2 linked regions of the Astyanax mexicanus genome follow. The protein of the gene in region 1 purifies or fractionates together with the protein of each later gene. This does not show direct contact. Links are inferred from orthologs where the notes say so. Each region holds a gene or a part of one and is shown in the gene's direction. Other genes may lie near its edges.

Region 1 (6,923 bases):
AACTCTTTTAGCCTCTGCAAAAATCAATCAAGCAATCTAACTTTATCTTTCATCAGAAAAACAATGAGGGTGGTCATAATTTCCAGTGTAGCGAAGTGTGTAAATGCACACACACAGTGCTGTGAAAATAAAAAAATAAAGATAGAAACCTAACTAGCTTACCAAGGCTATGTTCAGACTGCTCAGAAAGCCCAATGCAGATTTCTGGCATAAAAAATACAAACAAGATAAAGAAATGCTCCAGGGGTCACAGATGTGAGGCGCAAAAGACAAAGTACAACAACAATTTCTCAAAAAGAACTAAGCACTGGCAGTAGTGAAAGCTGTGCCATCCATATGCATCAATAAAAAAAATAATAATATACTGGATTTGTCCCAGAGCAAGGAAACTCCTAGGGTTGAAAGAGTGAAAAGTTTATTTTTCTTCTGGGGTGGTCCTGTTGACTTTTGCTTAATTGAGTAGTTCTTGCCATAATATGAATTAAAACATTACTCAAATAGGGCTATTCTTATCTGTAACAATGTGTACTTTGACAGTAGTTACATTGTTATTACATGGATTGTTAATGTGTAACTACACAGTTATTAGAGACACATTAGTAAGACCAAATTTTTCACAAAATCATCTGCTGCTCTCCAAAAACAAATGCACACAAGAACTAGTGATGCAATGCAGAAGATACATTAATTCTTTCTATATGCATTCTCATTGGCTGTAGGTTGTCGTTGCTTGCCAACTGGTCCAGATATCAAACCTGCTAGATGATTGCTGTGCTTCTGTGACTCTTTTGCAATCATTTAGCCACATCTTTTTGGAAAAACTACAAAAAAATATTCTGCACTAAAATTGTGTAGTAGTGAGAACCATGAATTAGCTGTGTGGGTACAACTTTGTTAGTTTTGAACTACAGAAGACTTATCTTAACTCAAAGAACCTTAACTGGGGCGTGGGCCCAAAATTGTATGTTTTCTGGGTTTTTTGGTGTTTTACAGGTAAGCCTTGTCCAGATGTGGCCCAGTTTACAATGGCCTACTCCTAGGTGCTGCATCCATCACACCGTACTAAAAAACAGTTACAGAAAACAGGGTGAATCTGAAAATGTAAACAGTTTTTTAATAGACCAATGTTTTTGCCATCTTTTATTGCTAAGGAGAGATCAGACATTGACCCGAAACGAATAATCCAGAATATCTTTAAAGCTCCACAGCACACCCGTGATCTCCAGCTATGTAAGAGACTCGGCCGTGTTAAATCCCATCTCTGACTGAACTATTGCCTGACTCATGCGTAGGTTGGTTCCAGTCAGGAGGAAGCCGTGGATGAAACGATACACAGATGCTGCAGATTCACTGTTTCATGCTAAATCAAAAAGCCTCTGAAGATCATCTCCCTGTCCAACCCTAGCCTTGTGTGTCGAGACAAACAATGTGGTCCCTATAGTGCTCTCCAGCTTTCCTCATCTGACCAGGATGCTGCTCAGCTCTGCCAGAGACCATGTGATGTTTTAGCTGGTTGGAAAAGGTTCTTACATAAGTCCCACGTAAGAGCGGCCCAGAGTAACTAGTGTTGAATCAGGACCCAGACTTTCCAGGGTTCGAGTCAGAGTAAAGACCACAAATTTGCAGTAGTTGTGTCTGAGTGGAGTGCTGTTAAATTGAGGTTTCTTAGGCTGGTAACTCTGAGGCTGGTAAGGTTGATGAACTTATCCTGTGCAACAGAGGTCATCTGTAGGTGAGCCACCAACCGTGCACCATGCAGCTTGATTTAGGGTGAATCAGTGTGCCTTTGCTATTGTAACGACTGGAAAAGTACACCTTGTACAGATTGAAACTAACTCGTTCTTATTCTCTTAATTAATCATGGGTGTGTTTTGGCCATAATGTGAAATAAACCTATCCGTGTGCCATTCTCTTTTAAGAGCCAGGTTTGCTCTGACTTTGGCAGCTTGCTAGTTTTCTCTATTATGGGGGTCCTCTATGATATGACCATCCAGAACGACCATTTATGTGTTTTTTTCAGGGGTCCTCTAAGAAAATTATAGGCTGAATTGCCTACAGTTTTTCACTGAACTCCGTGGTCCTCTGGTAATTTAGTCCCATCCGGACGCACATCTCTGAGTTCCATCACCTCGCATTTAATAAAATAGCTATTTGTCCACTGCTACGCACCGTAATTACACTTTGGGCGCAGGTTTTCACAAAGATCCTCGTAAACACAACAGCTAGTGGAAATGGAGGGGCTACTGAACATGATGTCATGTGACCGAGAAAGCTAAAAAACTCACTGGCCCTCCTGTTTTTTAAATGAGGTCTGGTTGCAAGAGTTTTATCACTGAGTGGAAGTGTGAAATATTTTTTTTACAGAGAAACTTATCCCATCCGGATAGGGCTTAATGCTAATGAGGCAAAGTAATTAGAGCTTATTTTAACTAATTTTATATGTGATTTTTGACACATTAACCATGTTTACTTCACTGTGTAGAAATGGTTTGTAACATATAAAGGTCAATATCGCATATTAAATAAAAATGTTGGTACTATGGTATTAGTTACTTACTTTGTGTGCATTAAAGGTAGAAAAAAAAGCATTTTTATACTTATCCCTCTTTGGAACATAACTCAGAGTTGAAAGGGTCAAGGTGTGTCCAAATGTTTTACTGATACTTTAATTAGAACATAATAAATGAAGACGATTTCTCTATTCAACCACTTCTGTTATGTCTTAATGACATTAAAGCCTGGATGGCTTTAAACTTTTTGAATTTTAATGAAAAGAAAACAGAAGTGATGGTGTTTGGTCCCAGTGGTTCTTGTGAAGCCCCCCCTGTTGATTTGGGCCCCTTGGCGCTGTATGTGAAACCTACAGTTTCTAACCTGGGTTTTAAGATGGACAGTGATTTTAAATTGGATCGCCAGATTGGTGCAGTAGTCAAGTCCAGCTTCTTCCACCTTAGGCAGCTGGCAAAAGTGAAGTCAGTTCTCACACATGAGCACTTTGAAACAGTAATCCATGCCTTCATTACATCCCGGCTGGATTACTGTAATGCACTATATTTTGGGGTCAATCAGTCCTCCCTTAAACGCCTTCAGTTAGTGCAAAATGCCGCTGCCCGACTTTTAACAGGTTCACGCAAGAGAGAGCACATTACTCCCATTCTGGCCTCCCTCCACTGGCTGCCTGTGCATTTTAGAGTTCATTTTAAGATTCTTTTATTTGTTTTTAAATCTTTAAATGGACTCGCTCCGCCTTACCTCACTGAGCTGCTCTGCCCCCACGCCCCCGCTCGGTACCTTAGGTCAGCTGATCAGCTGCTCCTGGAGGTGCCGAGGTCAAAACGCAAGCTTAGAGGGGATAGAGCTTTTTCAATTGCGGCTCCTAAACTGTGGAATGGCCTACCACTATATGTCAGACAAGCCCCGTCACTGTCCACGTTTAAAACCAGGCTAAAGACTCATTTTTATTCCTTGGCTTTTAACCCAACTTAAGACTTTGTTCTTGTTTTATTTATTAATTAATTATTTTTTTAATTTTTTATTTATTTTTATTTATTTTATTTCTGTTTTTATTTTATTTTGTTTTTACTTTTACTTTACTTAGTTCTTAGATTTATCTGAAACTTTTTATTGATACCTACATTTTAATTTGTCATTGTTTCTAGTATTTTGTTTCTTATCTTATAATGTGCTATGTACAGCACTTTGTTGCAGCTGTTGTTGTTTTTAAAGTGCTCTATAAATAAAGTTGAGTTGAGTTGAGTTGAGTTGAATACATGTGTTTAATACGTGAAAAATGCAAATGCAAACAAAGACAAAAAGAAACGTCACACGCCGAGGCACGCGAGCCTTGCAGTGATTAATAGCTAATATTATTAATAATAATAATCTGAATAATAGTCAGATTGGTCTGTGTTGCTGATGTCAGAGGACTGTGATGTCAGAGGACAGTCAGCTGAAGATGGCGAGCGCTGTGGCTGTGGTGGAGGAGACGGAGGATTACTCCTTTTTACCTCTAATTCACGATATTATCAAATGGTAAGAGTTTACAGCCCTAAACTAGACTGTCGTCAACTGAACAAGCCCAAAATACAAAGTCTGAATACAGAAAATACCGGTTTACGGCCGGTAAACTATCGGGACCAGCTACAAAAGCTAACGCTAGGTTAGCTAGGCTAACGCTAGTTAGCAGAGAGCTTCTGAGTTCCCGCTTTACTGCTCGAGAAACAGTATTATTTTAATTAAAGATGTGTAAAATATAGAGCTGTATATACACTGTTATTATATGCAGGATAAATAAGGCAGCATAAAAGTGTAATTAAACAGCTAACCTACATGTGACGCTGTAAAAGAGTGCTGTGGCTATTGTCTGTTCCACCTTAAAAGGTTAGCTAGCATCTGAGGCGCCAGAACGTAGCTAAGCTAAGCTAACCCTAGCTAACTGCTGCAACCTTTAAGGTGGAACGGACAATTCCAAACTCGGGTCACTCTAACACAGCCTCTATAAACTTATGTCCAAATTATACAGTTAAACAAACATGTAACTCTTATTGCACCAATGAATGTCTGCTGACAACAAAACCCTAAGGACAATAAGCATTAATTAACATATATTTTGTTCAGCTAAACTTGTAGGTTAGCTAGCTAGCTAGGTATTGTTATTTGTTTACTTCCATGCTGGCTAACTAACATTAAGTAAACTTTTTTAGCTAGTGTAGCTTTATTTTATTTTCTATAACGTCTGTTTCTTACACCCAGATGTTCAGTGTAACTAATTTAATCTGTTACAAACTACTTTTGCAACAGGATGGAAAAATAGTAACATAAATTCATTTTTTCCCTGAAATTTCCTGATTAATAGAACATTGGGAAAACGGATGAAAACCGTATTTTCTTCATAATGCCAAATAGAAAAAAATAATACACACTCTAATTTTGCCTCTCATAGTCAGAAAATACTGATAAACATTACAGTGACCCACAATTTGTCCAAATATCACTTTATACAGAAACTGACCAAAAGCTTTGGAGGATAAACAAATAAATTAATCATAATCAGATTTCAATATCGACACTTTCCTAAAATAATCAAAATAAAATACATTTTCTCACGTTTTTCAGATGATAAACTATCCTCTTAAAAAGTTATCATACAACCCATCAGTAAAACAAACCAGAATCAGTGCTATATCAAAATTTTGAAAAGACAAAAAACAATTAAAGACAGAAAACATTTTAACAGCCACAAATTGTAGCACATTTCTACCTAGCTTTGTTTTTAATGCTTTTAGTTATATTTTGCTGACAAAAATGCAGACTAAAACCCCAATAAAACCTAATAAGATTAACCAGCCATGCAAAATGCATAGTCTATTTGTAGCCTTTATTATTATAAAAGGAAACTTAATTAAACTTGTATTAGGCATAATAAAGCTTAAGTCATTCTGAAATAGGGCATTATTCCTAAGGGGGTAGAATCAAATAATCTGATCAGCTGAGGCTGTAGAAGAATTTACCACAGGTGGCAATACAGCACCATAAAGAGATGCTTTAGACAGACACAACAATTTTGGTAAAAAAAAAAAAAGGCTATTATTAAGGAAGGTGGTGAAAAATTGTTTTGAAATGGGGGTCAAGATGCATCAGTAGTGACAGATCCATAAAATATACAATTAAAATGCTTTCCTATACTACTGATGCATAAACATGTTTAATGTTAATTAAATAAGAAAATGCATCTTATTACAATAAAATATCGTCATGCCCACCACTAAAATAAATAAGGTTAAAGTTTTAAATGTAATTGTGGTGGTGAATCTGAACAGATACTTTTTTGGTACATTTTGCCAGGGGTATCTCAGATATCAGGCAGTGTATTTGAAAAACATTTGCTGTAATAACATTCTGTAAACAAATTTGATTTGGTAAGTTTCATTACAACAGAGCATTCAACCCCAAACCCACTCTGAAGTATTTATGATAAAATTCAGCAATGCAAATTTGACAGCCAATCAGATGTTTGGATGTAATATGTTACTGCTTTTCGTTCACACATTTCCATGCTGCTATAGCAAAAGTTGCACTCTTGATTTCATATTGCTGTATGTATGGTTTTATATTATTTTATTTTTATGCTGTTTTATTTTTTTCTTATATTTATATTATTTTAACTATTTTAACAATTGCTCTTTTTGGTGTAACTGGACCATGAGAATACAGTTGTCTTTAGTCTCATGCACCACATTTAATGTGAACCACAATAAAGTCTCCTTGAATCCTTAAATTTTAGAAATGCTTATAGAGTCATAGCTGCTAATCAGTAGAATAATATAAGTTACTAATCTTGTCCTGTTAAAGTACAGATTTTTGATACTCATCTTTACTTATTGCTGTTGTATTACCTGCACTGTGTCTTTTTTAAAATGGATATATCTGGCTCTGCATCCACAGCATGGACAAAGAGAACCAGGATGTTCACCAGGAGTTAAACAGACTGAGAGCACGGATTCAGGAGGCACGGGAGCAGATTTCAGCTATGCCTGGCATTGATGCGAGTCCATCAGCACAGCAGCAGCGTCTGCAAACGCTTAGGGATCAGGTTCGTACCAAGAACCAGCTCTTACACAAGTACAAGGGCCTGTGTATGTTTGACATCCCCAAGCCTTCCTGAGGAAGAGGATCAGAGGATTCTACAGAGTAAATAAGGACAGATGGATTATTTATTGACAGACAAACTCATCTGAAAAAGAACTGTTCCACACAAGGGACTGTGCTTTTCCCCATCATTCGTGTGACTTTACTGATTTTGACTGTGCTTTAGTTGCTGTTAGATAATTTTTTATTTTTTATTTTTTACTGCTGAAAATGTCAAAGCTGTGTCTAATAAACCAAACATATTTTCTAAGAACATATCCTTTCACGTTTCAGTT
Region 2 (7,727 bases), on another chromosome or scaffold:
TAACTGACCTGTTTATAATGTAATCCCAGCAGTGACTCCGTGACGGCTGCTCTAAACTGCTGCTGTTAGCTGCTTGGGCTGAAAGATGAACTGTAGAGAGCTGTATTATCCGGTTAGTGGGGTTAAAACCTTTATTTCCTTATAAAAAAAAAAAAAAAAAAAAAAAAACGCTCCAGACTGTCTGAGCTGAGCCTGTAGCCCGTGGCTGGGCTGTAGGTCTGACTGAATAAAGACAGCGGCAGTGTTGCCAACTCCACAGTAAGGAAAGTAGCTTGGCTGTCCTAAAAGTCGCTAGAAGTCGCTAAATGACGTCATTAACTAATTTGCATAATATATTTTTTGAAGCTGTAAAGGATTAAGGTTGTGGGAGAGAAAAAAGGGAGTAAAAAACACCATAAATATGTTAGAAATGTTACAAATGAACAACTTCTGTTGCTTTTTAAATAGGACGTCACTTTTGTTTACAATAACTTAATTTTTATGTGAATTACATAAATTATTTTTTTGCCATGCCAGCAGCCGGAACTGTTATTCTACGTTTTTTTTTTAGTTTTTTTTTTTTCAGTTTTTTTTTTAGTTTGTTTGTTTTATTTATTTATTTATTTATTTTACATTTTCTTAAGTTTTCTTTATATTTAAACCTATAATAGACAAATTGTTCAATGGTTCAATAGATATTTAGCTTTGTTTTATTTATTAATTTTTTTAGCTTTGTATTTAGATTTGTTTTATTTTATTTTTATTTTTTTACGTTTTCTTAAGTTTTCTTTATTTTTAAACCTATCATAGACAAATTGTTCAATGGTTCAAAAGATATTTAGCTTTTTATAAAGAGGCAGACACTGTGGAGGAGGTGAGTGACAGGCTATGTGGTGAATGAGGTGAGTGAATGATTGAGACTTTGTGAATTAAATTAAGGGATTTCTGTTCGTGTTACACTGAAGGCACTTTAATATTTATACTTCTGCTCTGTAAATACAGAGCGGGGTCAGTCAGCGGCGGCTGTGGGCACGCGCGATTCATTTACAATGTGTTCGTGGAGCGGTGTGTGTGTGGGACAAAGTCGCTAAGTTGGCAACACTGGACAGCGGGGATTGTGCTGCTGCAGCTCCGACTAGTGGTTGGATGAGGAACTGCAGCTTCCTGTAAGCGAGCAGTTTCACCGGTTTCACCAGTTTCATCCACACACAGCTCTGATAAACTGCTTATCCCTAAACTCCTGAATCAGATCGGCTAAAATCAGAAGAATATCTGCCGATCGCCGATACCGTATTTGGCTGAACATCGTCTGATACCGATACACTGCCGATCGATCGTTCCATCTCTAGTTATTTGGTTTATGTGTGTGTTTTAAGAATGAGGGCCCCAAAATGGCTAGATCCGCCCCTGGCTGCTTTAACAACTTCAGTCTGAGGAGAGTGTGTGATATTTAGGAACACAGTTAGCATCATGCTAATTGCTGGTTTATAAGCTTCCTCTGCATTAATCTAGCAGCTCTAGTGTAACTAATCAAACAAACAAACAATATTCGGAGAAGTTGTGAAAATCTGACATTTGATTAAATCATTCCTTTAAGGTCAGGGGAATAACATAAACATGTCACTGTCAATAAATGCCTCACAAATCATCCAACAGCAACCACATTTCAGATAAAACAGACACCATGAGAGCTTTTCAGTCAAGTATGTATTGCTGCAGACTGGAGCACCTCCAAAGAGGAGGGGCTTAGCTCCAAATGGGACGTCCACAGCTCCAAAGGGGAGGGGCTTACCTCCAAGTGGGAAGTCCATCAACAGTATACAGCTCGACTGGGAGCGCGTTTGTGCGCGAGACCTCTCTCACCACGGCTCCGACGAATGTCATAATAAAAGTCTTACGTGATTATTATTATTACTATTATTCTATTACATCAAATTTAATGTTATATAGAATGTACTATCACATCATATTATATTATATTATATAAAAATCTACATCGTAAGGCAGGGAGACATCACTCAACACAGCTCCATTTCTCTGCCGAATGCCACAACAAAAGTCCTCCGTGATTAAAAGGCTCATGGATGTCAATAAATATATTAGTCAACAATTAATGATTATTTATATTTCTTAAATGTCAATATAATAATATACGTGTAGTGTGTATGTATTTATAATATTATTGGCTATGAATAAACAACTGCATTTATTATTTAGATCTTTACTATTTTATAATTTGAAAAATTCACAGCATGGCAAATGTTTAAAGGTTTTAAATAAATAAAATGTAGTTGCAATGTGCACAACATGCTTTTAGACTCTTAGAAAATGCATTTTAATATAAACAAACATTTAATAAACGAAATAGATTAATTAATTAACCTTTGGGGTTATTTACAAGCACAAAACGTTGTAAAAAACACCATGCTGCGTAACATCAAGCACCATCCTACTTGGAGGTAGGCTCCGCCTGTTTGAAGGGAATGTTCCTCCCCTTTGGAGGTGCTCCAGGCTGCAGCTATACCCTTCTCTTTTCAGTAGCCAGCCTACTGACTCCACTGCAAAGCGGTCATGTTTTAAATCCGACCTGTGGTGTTTACTCTGGGGAAGCACTGCCCCCTAGTGTTGAGCATCACTCACCACATTTTTTTTATGTATAATATTTATGTCATTGCTCATGGTCTTTATAGAGCCACACGATGTTCATTATTTTAAATGAAAGCCTTTAACACCATTGATCATATTTTGTTGACTGGAATATTTGTTTTTAAAAATGGTGATGAGTCAGCAGCCAAACCATGCAGTTTCCCTTCACACAAAAAAATATAAAACACAAGTATATAAATAAATAAAGATATAAAGCCTCTTTTGTTGTGGGACAAATTGTGTTGATAATAAATATACAGAACATTAGTTGTTATTATGTTTTAATTCTTTGATTATTTCTAAATACAAACATATAAATACATTAAACTGTGCAGGACAAATTAGGCTCAAATTTTGCTGGAAGGACAAACTAAGGGGGGGAAAGGGAAGAGTTCATACAAAGTTAAAAGGATCCACTGTTGTACAGGTTAGCTGTATTTTTATAAAAGTAAATTGATTAAGGATGGCAATGTCGTTCAAGAAACAACACATATAGCTGCATGTTGTTTACAGCTGATGGAACTTCCTGTTGTAGATGTGACTTGTAGAATATTCTCAGGGGTCACTAATAGGCGGACCGCGGTCCGGGTCCGGACCCAGACATTGTCCAATCCGGACCCAAACCAATAAACTACTGAGAAGGATTTAATTCTGACAGTGTTCATTTAAAGCGGTGGAACTTTTATTGTTTTTATGGTTCACGTGCTTTGCGACGCATTAAACTTACACCCCAATCACGTGTGCTGTAAGATCAGCAAACGCTCTCCTCTGCCAATCAGATCTGTGCATATGCGGGAGCACGGAGCCACACAGGCGAAGCAGGCGGTGAGAAATCGGAGAATAAAGCGAGAAAATAAAAAATAAATTAAGATGATAATGTAATGTAACCGAGCAAAACAGTCCACTTTACTCCACCTGATCAGAACTCCCTCGTTCGCAGGCGCTCTCTCTACTCCCGAAACAACCCTACCTTAAAACTAAGGCAACCCCCAGAGGACAAAAAGCATTGACAACTCCCCCATCAGTTTTACCCACAACATAATAAAGTCTGATACAGTACTAATATTAAATACAATAAAACTGCTGTTTTTAAACAAAGCTGATACAAGTTCAGCAAACATTTCTCCATATATTGTATGATTTGTCATTCATGTAATTATCATGACAGGCAGGCCTAAATCTAATATAAATAAAAATAGAATAAATATATAGCATTTTGAAACAAAGTTAACATACAGATTCACATTAATAGACTCGATAAGTTAAATTATTCAGGGTGTTTTAATTTATTTTATGATAGGTTGATAATGTAATTATTGTGACAGACCTATTTACAACAATACATATTGTTGAAATGTACTAGTATGTGTAATTTGTAACACTGACAGAACTACAAGGCTTCTTCAGTGTACAGGATATAATACTAAATCATAACGCAAGTTAAAAATGGCGAAGGTCCGGACCTTGGCCTGGCAAAATTTTCTTTAACTGGACCGTACTGAATTCTATTTAAATACCCCTGTTCTAGATGTTTCAGATGGGGTATTGTGTGACGGTAACAGGAAAGAGTGAAAACCAGGGACACAAATAAATGTGTATTTTAACTTTATGGATATAATATATGTATATTATGGATATTTAATATTATGGATTTATATGGAAAATATTTTAAAGCATACATGGGACTTGAAGTCACAAAGCAATGCAAGAAAATTACATGTGAAGGATTTTAATAATTATATTTTATGGTAAAATTTATAGAGAGTGGGGACAGGTAACAAATGCTATTTTTTCAGTGTTCTATATATATATATATATATATTACATATCTTACTTTTGCAATTAGGTCAAGACACTATGCTTATTAATAAAATGTATTTTAACGTTATTTTGTGTGCACATTTATATATGTCATTTCCTGGAGACAGAAATGGCACAGATTCTGTGGAATATGCCAGTTTTTTGTAGAGAATAACGAGGAGGAGGAGGAGTGTTTTTACTGGATCCGGAACCCTGGTTTGGGGCTGCTGGAGGATCAGGAGGGGGGATTGTTATTGAAGCTGCGCGGCGGCTCCGCTGTAGGAGGAGCGGCTGATCATGTATCTAAAGCAGAAATTAAACTAAGTGTAAAATATTCCGGCGCTTTTTCTACGCTGTGAGGGTTAAACCATGGCGGTCCCGATGGAGAGTCAGCTGCAGAGTATCTTTGAGGACGTGGTGGTGCGTGTTTGTGTTTCTGGAGCTGAAACGGAGAGTTAGAGTCGCTTTAGCCGAGCTAGAGAAACTAGCCCTTATCAGAAAAACTGAACTGATTTAAACTCCCCCAACTTTATAACAGGAGCTCAGATATGATTATCTATAACTTCACTGTATTAAGCATTCCATTAGCTCCTTAGTAAACGGGGGTTAATCTCCACGCTGAAAGCTGTATGAAGAGTTAGCTAACGTTAGCTAGCTTAGCTTTTAGGTTAGCTAGCATTAGCTAGGTTACCATTGTCTTCTCTACGATGCTCTCTGAGTTAGCTAAATGACGGTTAAGGTTCAGATAAACCATTCACTTACCGAGTTTAGCTAACGTTATCTGAACATAACCTAATTATCTCAGAAAATATGGAGTAAAACCAGAAGCAACAGTTAAAGTGTTCATGTAGCTTGAGGTAGAATAAATTGATTTAAACAGCCTCAGAGAAAAATACACTTATTTTGATCAAAATTAGGCCAGCTACACCACAGACACACTATATATATAACCTATATTTGGCCATATCTTAAAATCTGGAGCCTGATTATTAAAAATAAAATGTGCAGAGAAACGTTGTAAAGTCTGCAGTTTTGGTTTTGACCTCCACCTAAAAAAAGTGTGATAGATAGATAGATAGATAGATAGATAGATAGATAGATAGATAGATAGATACTTTATTGATCCCTGAGGGGAAATTCTACAAAATAGAAAATTATAAATGATGTCACATTTTGCTTTGCACAAAATCCCCCTCTGTCATTGTGATACACAGATATTTTACTTCAGTTAGGGCTGTGGCATATTGTATCATATTTATTAATATCGTACAAATGTGAGACTATAAAAACTGAATATCGTGATAATAGCAATATTCTTGAAAGCAGTCTTTGTTGCAGCAGTGTATTCTTGATCTTTTTTTGTCATTCCAGACTATAGTTATCGCAAAAATAGATTGGATTATGATGATAATATTTTAAAGTCATGTTGCCCACCCCTGACTGATTTTTATACAAATTAGAAATGTTGCTGTTATACACTTAAAAATGGAAGATAACACCAATTTCTTGTGTTCATAAGATTATTAATGTCTTCGTTTTATGTAATTCATAATCAAAGCTTTGTAAAAATTCATGTTTTTTTTTTTTACCCCTCAGAAAACAGAAGTAATTGAGGAGGCTTTCGCTGGGTATGTGACAGTATACATTGAGTTTTTACATCATACAAACATTTGTGGTTATGTGGCATGTTCTTCTAAATTAAGTATAAATTATATTTCTATAACTACAGGATGTTTATGGACACCCCTGAAGATGAAAGAACCAAACTTATCAGCTGTTTAGGAGCATTCAGGCAATACTGGAGCAGTCTTCCTGAGGTTAGTTACACAAAAACCTGTGCCACTTTGCCCCAGGGCATTGTCTTGTCCTTTTATTAACTTTTAAGTATATCATGGGGCATTATGCAGTGCTGCTCTTTTCTGCAGGAGTCCCATGAGCAGTGTGTGCAGTGGATCGTGAGGTTTATCCACAGCCAGCACAGTCCAAAACGCATCTCCTTCCTCTATGACTGCTTGGCCATGGCGGTGGAGACCAGTCTGCTGCCCCCCAGGTACTTACATGTATAAGACAAATTACACAAAACTGTAGTGGTAGAAGTAAGGCTAATAATAAAATTTAATAAAATAAATCTAGTTAAAAAAAAAAATGTTTTATTGATCTATGAACACAACAGACTGTTAATCGATTTTAGTGGTGTATTGTGAACTGTGTGTAAATAATAAAAAATATTATGATGAATATTATAAATAATATTGTGTGTTTTTGTGTTTATAGAATGGTCTGCCAGGCTCTGATCAACTCTGATTCTCTGGAGTGGGAACGCACACAACTCTGGGCTTTGACCTTTAAACTCATTCGCAAAATCATCGGTGGAGTTGATTATAAGGTACAGTGGAATCTTCACTTTATATAAAATTCCAGAATAATTGAATGCATTAACACTTTAACATTCAAAAAACTAGTTTTGAGTATTTGCCTATGGTCTCATTTTGTGTTATGCGCTTTAATAGTTAGGGAATAAAAACACAGTCGAGCGGGGGGCATATGTTTTGTTACCAAATACTAACACATGTCTGTCTCCAACCATTTACTAAATGTTAACTTGGAAGTGTTAATCTGTTGTTAGATGGCCTAAAACATAACCACCTGTTTTGTGTTCTGTTGCAGGGTGTGAGAGACCTTCTGAAGGCTGTTTTGGATAAAGTTCAGACCATCCCCAACCTGGTCAGCTCGGCTGTAGTGCATCAGCTGCTGCCTGTGCGAGAGGTATAGTTCAGTGTAGCATGGAATAGCTACATCTTTTATTACAATACATTTACGATAAGTGATATTGAACAATAAAGGAAGAGCCTGGTTCTGTCAGCTAGGGCTAGCCAAGATAGACAAGATAGCCCCAGAATAGACAGTCTTAAAACTTTTAATAGCCTGTTTAAAACTCACAAATCATTATTACTATTCAAAATCATAGCATGTGGGACAAGTTAGTTTTTTTTGCTGTAACATAAATATATTTCTGGGATGATTATGAAGCCCTTTGTGGTCCAAGTCAGTTGTGTTGAAATGTGGAAAGCAACATGGGCTCTTCTTTTTGGTTTGAGAATAAGGACCACTGTATTTATATTAATAACATGGATCTCTGTTGTTGTTGTTGAAGGTGGTGGAGTACATCCTGGACAGGAATGCTTGTCTCCTTCCAGCTTATTTTGCTGTGAATGAAATCCGGAAACTCTACCCAGAGGGACAGCTCTCACACTGGGTAAAGCGCACACACACCTGCACTTAATTTCAAATAGGGAGTTAAC

The links. Proteins that work in one complex are often made in the same cells at the same time.
Region 2: the proteins of med9 (region 1) and med23 purify together in Homo sapiens (co-immunoprecipitation; 3 studies listed by BioGRID and IntAct, with this or other methods). This does not show direct contact. The link is inferred for Astyanax mexicanus from reciprocal best matches to the Homo sapiens genes MED9 and MED23.

What each region holds. Positions count from the first base shown.
Region 1 is NC_064422.1:7,758,537-7,765,459, reverse strand, and holds med9 (mediator of RNA polymerase II transcription subunit 9), read left to right. Parts: upstream 1-3,909; 5' UTR 3,910-3,931; coding exon 3,932-4,032; intron 4,033-6,444; coding exon 6,445-6,664; 3' UTR 6,665-6,903; downstream 6,904-6,923.
Region 2 is NC_064408.1:41,855,634-41,863,360, forward strand, and holds the start of med23 (mediator of RNA polymerase II transcription subunit 23), read left to right. Parts: upstream 1-4,660; 5' UTR 4,661-4,794; coding exon 4,795-4,845; intron 4,846-6,021; coding exon 6,022-6,053; intron 6,054-6,154; coding exon 6,155-6,242; intron 6,243-6,350; coding exon 6,351-6,475; intron 6,476-6,699; coding exon 6,700-6,811; intron 6,812-7,092; coding exon 7,093-7,191; intron 7,192-7,579; coding exon 7,580-7,681; intron 7,682-7,727. UniProt on the Homo sapiens protein: Required for transcriptional activation subsequent to the assembly of the pre-initiation complex. Component of the Mediator complex, a coactivator involved in the regulated transcription of nearly all RNA polymerase II-dependent genes.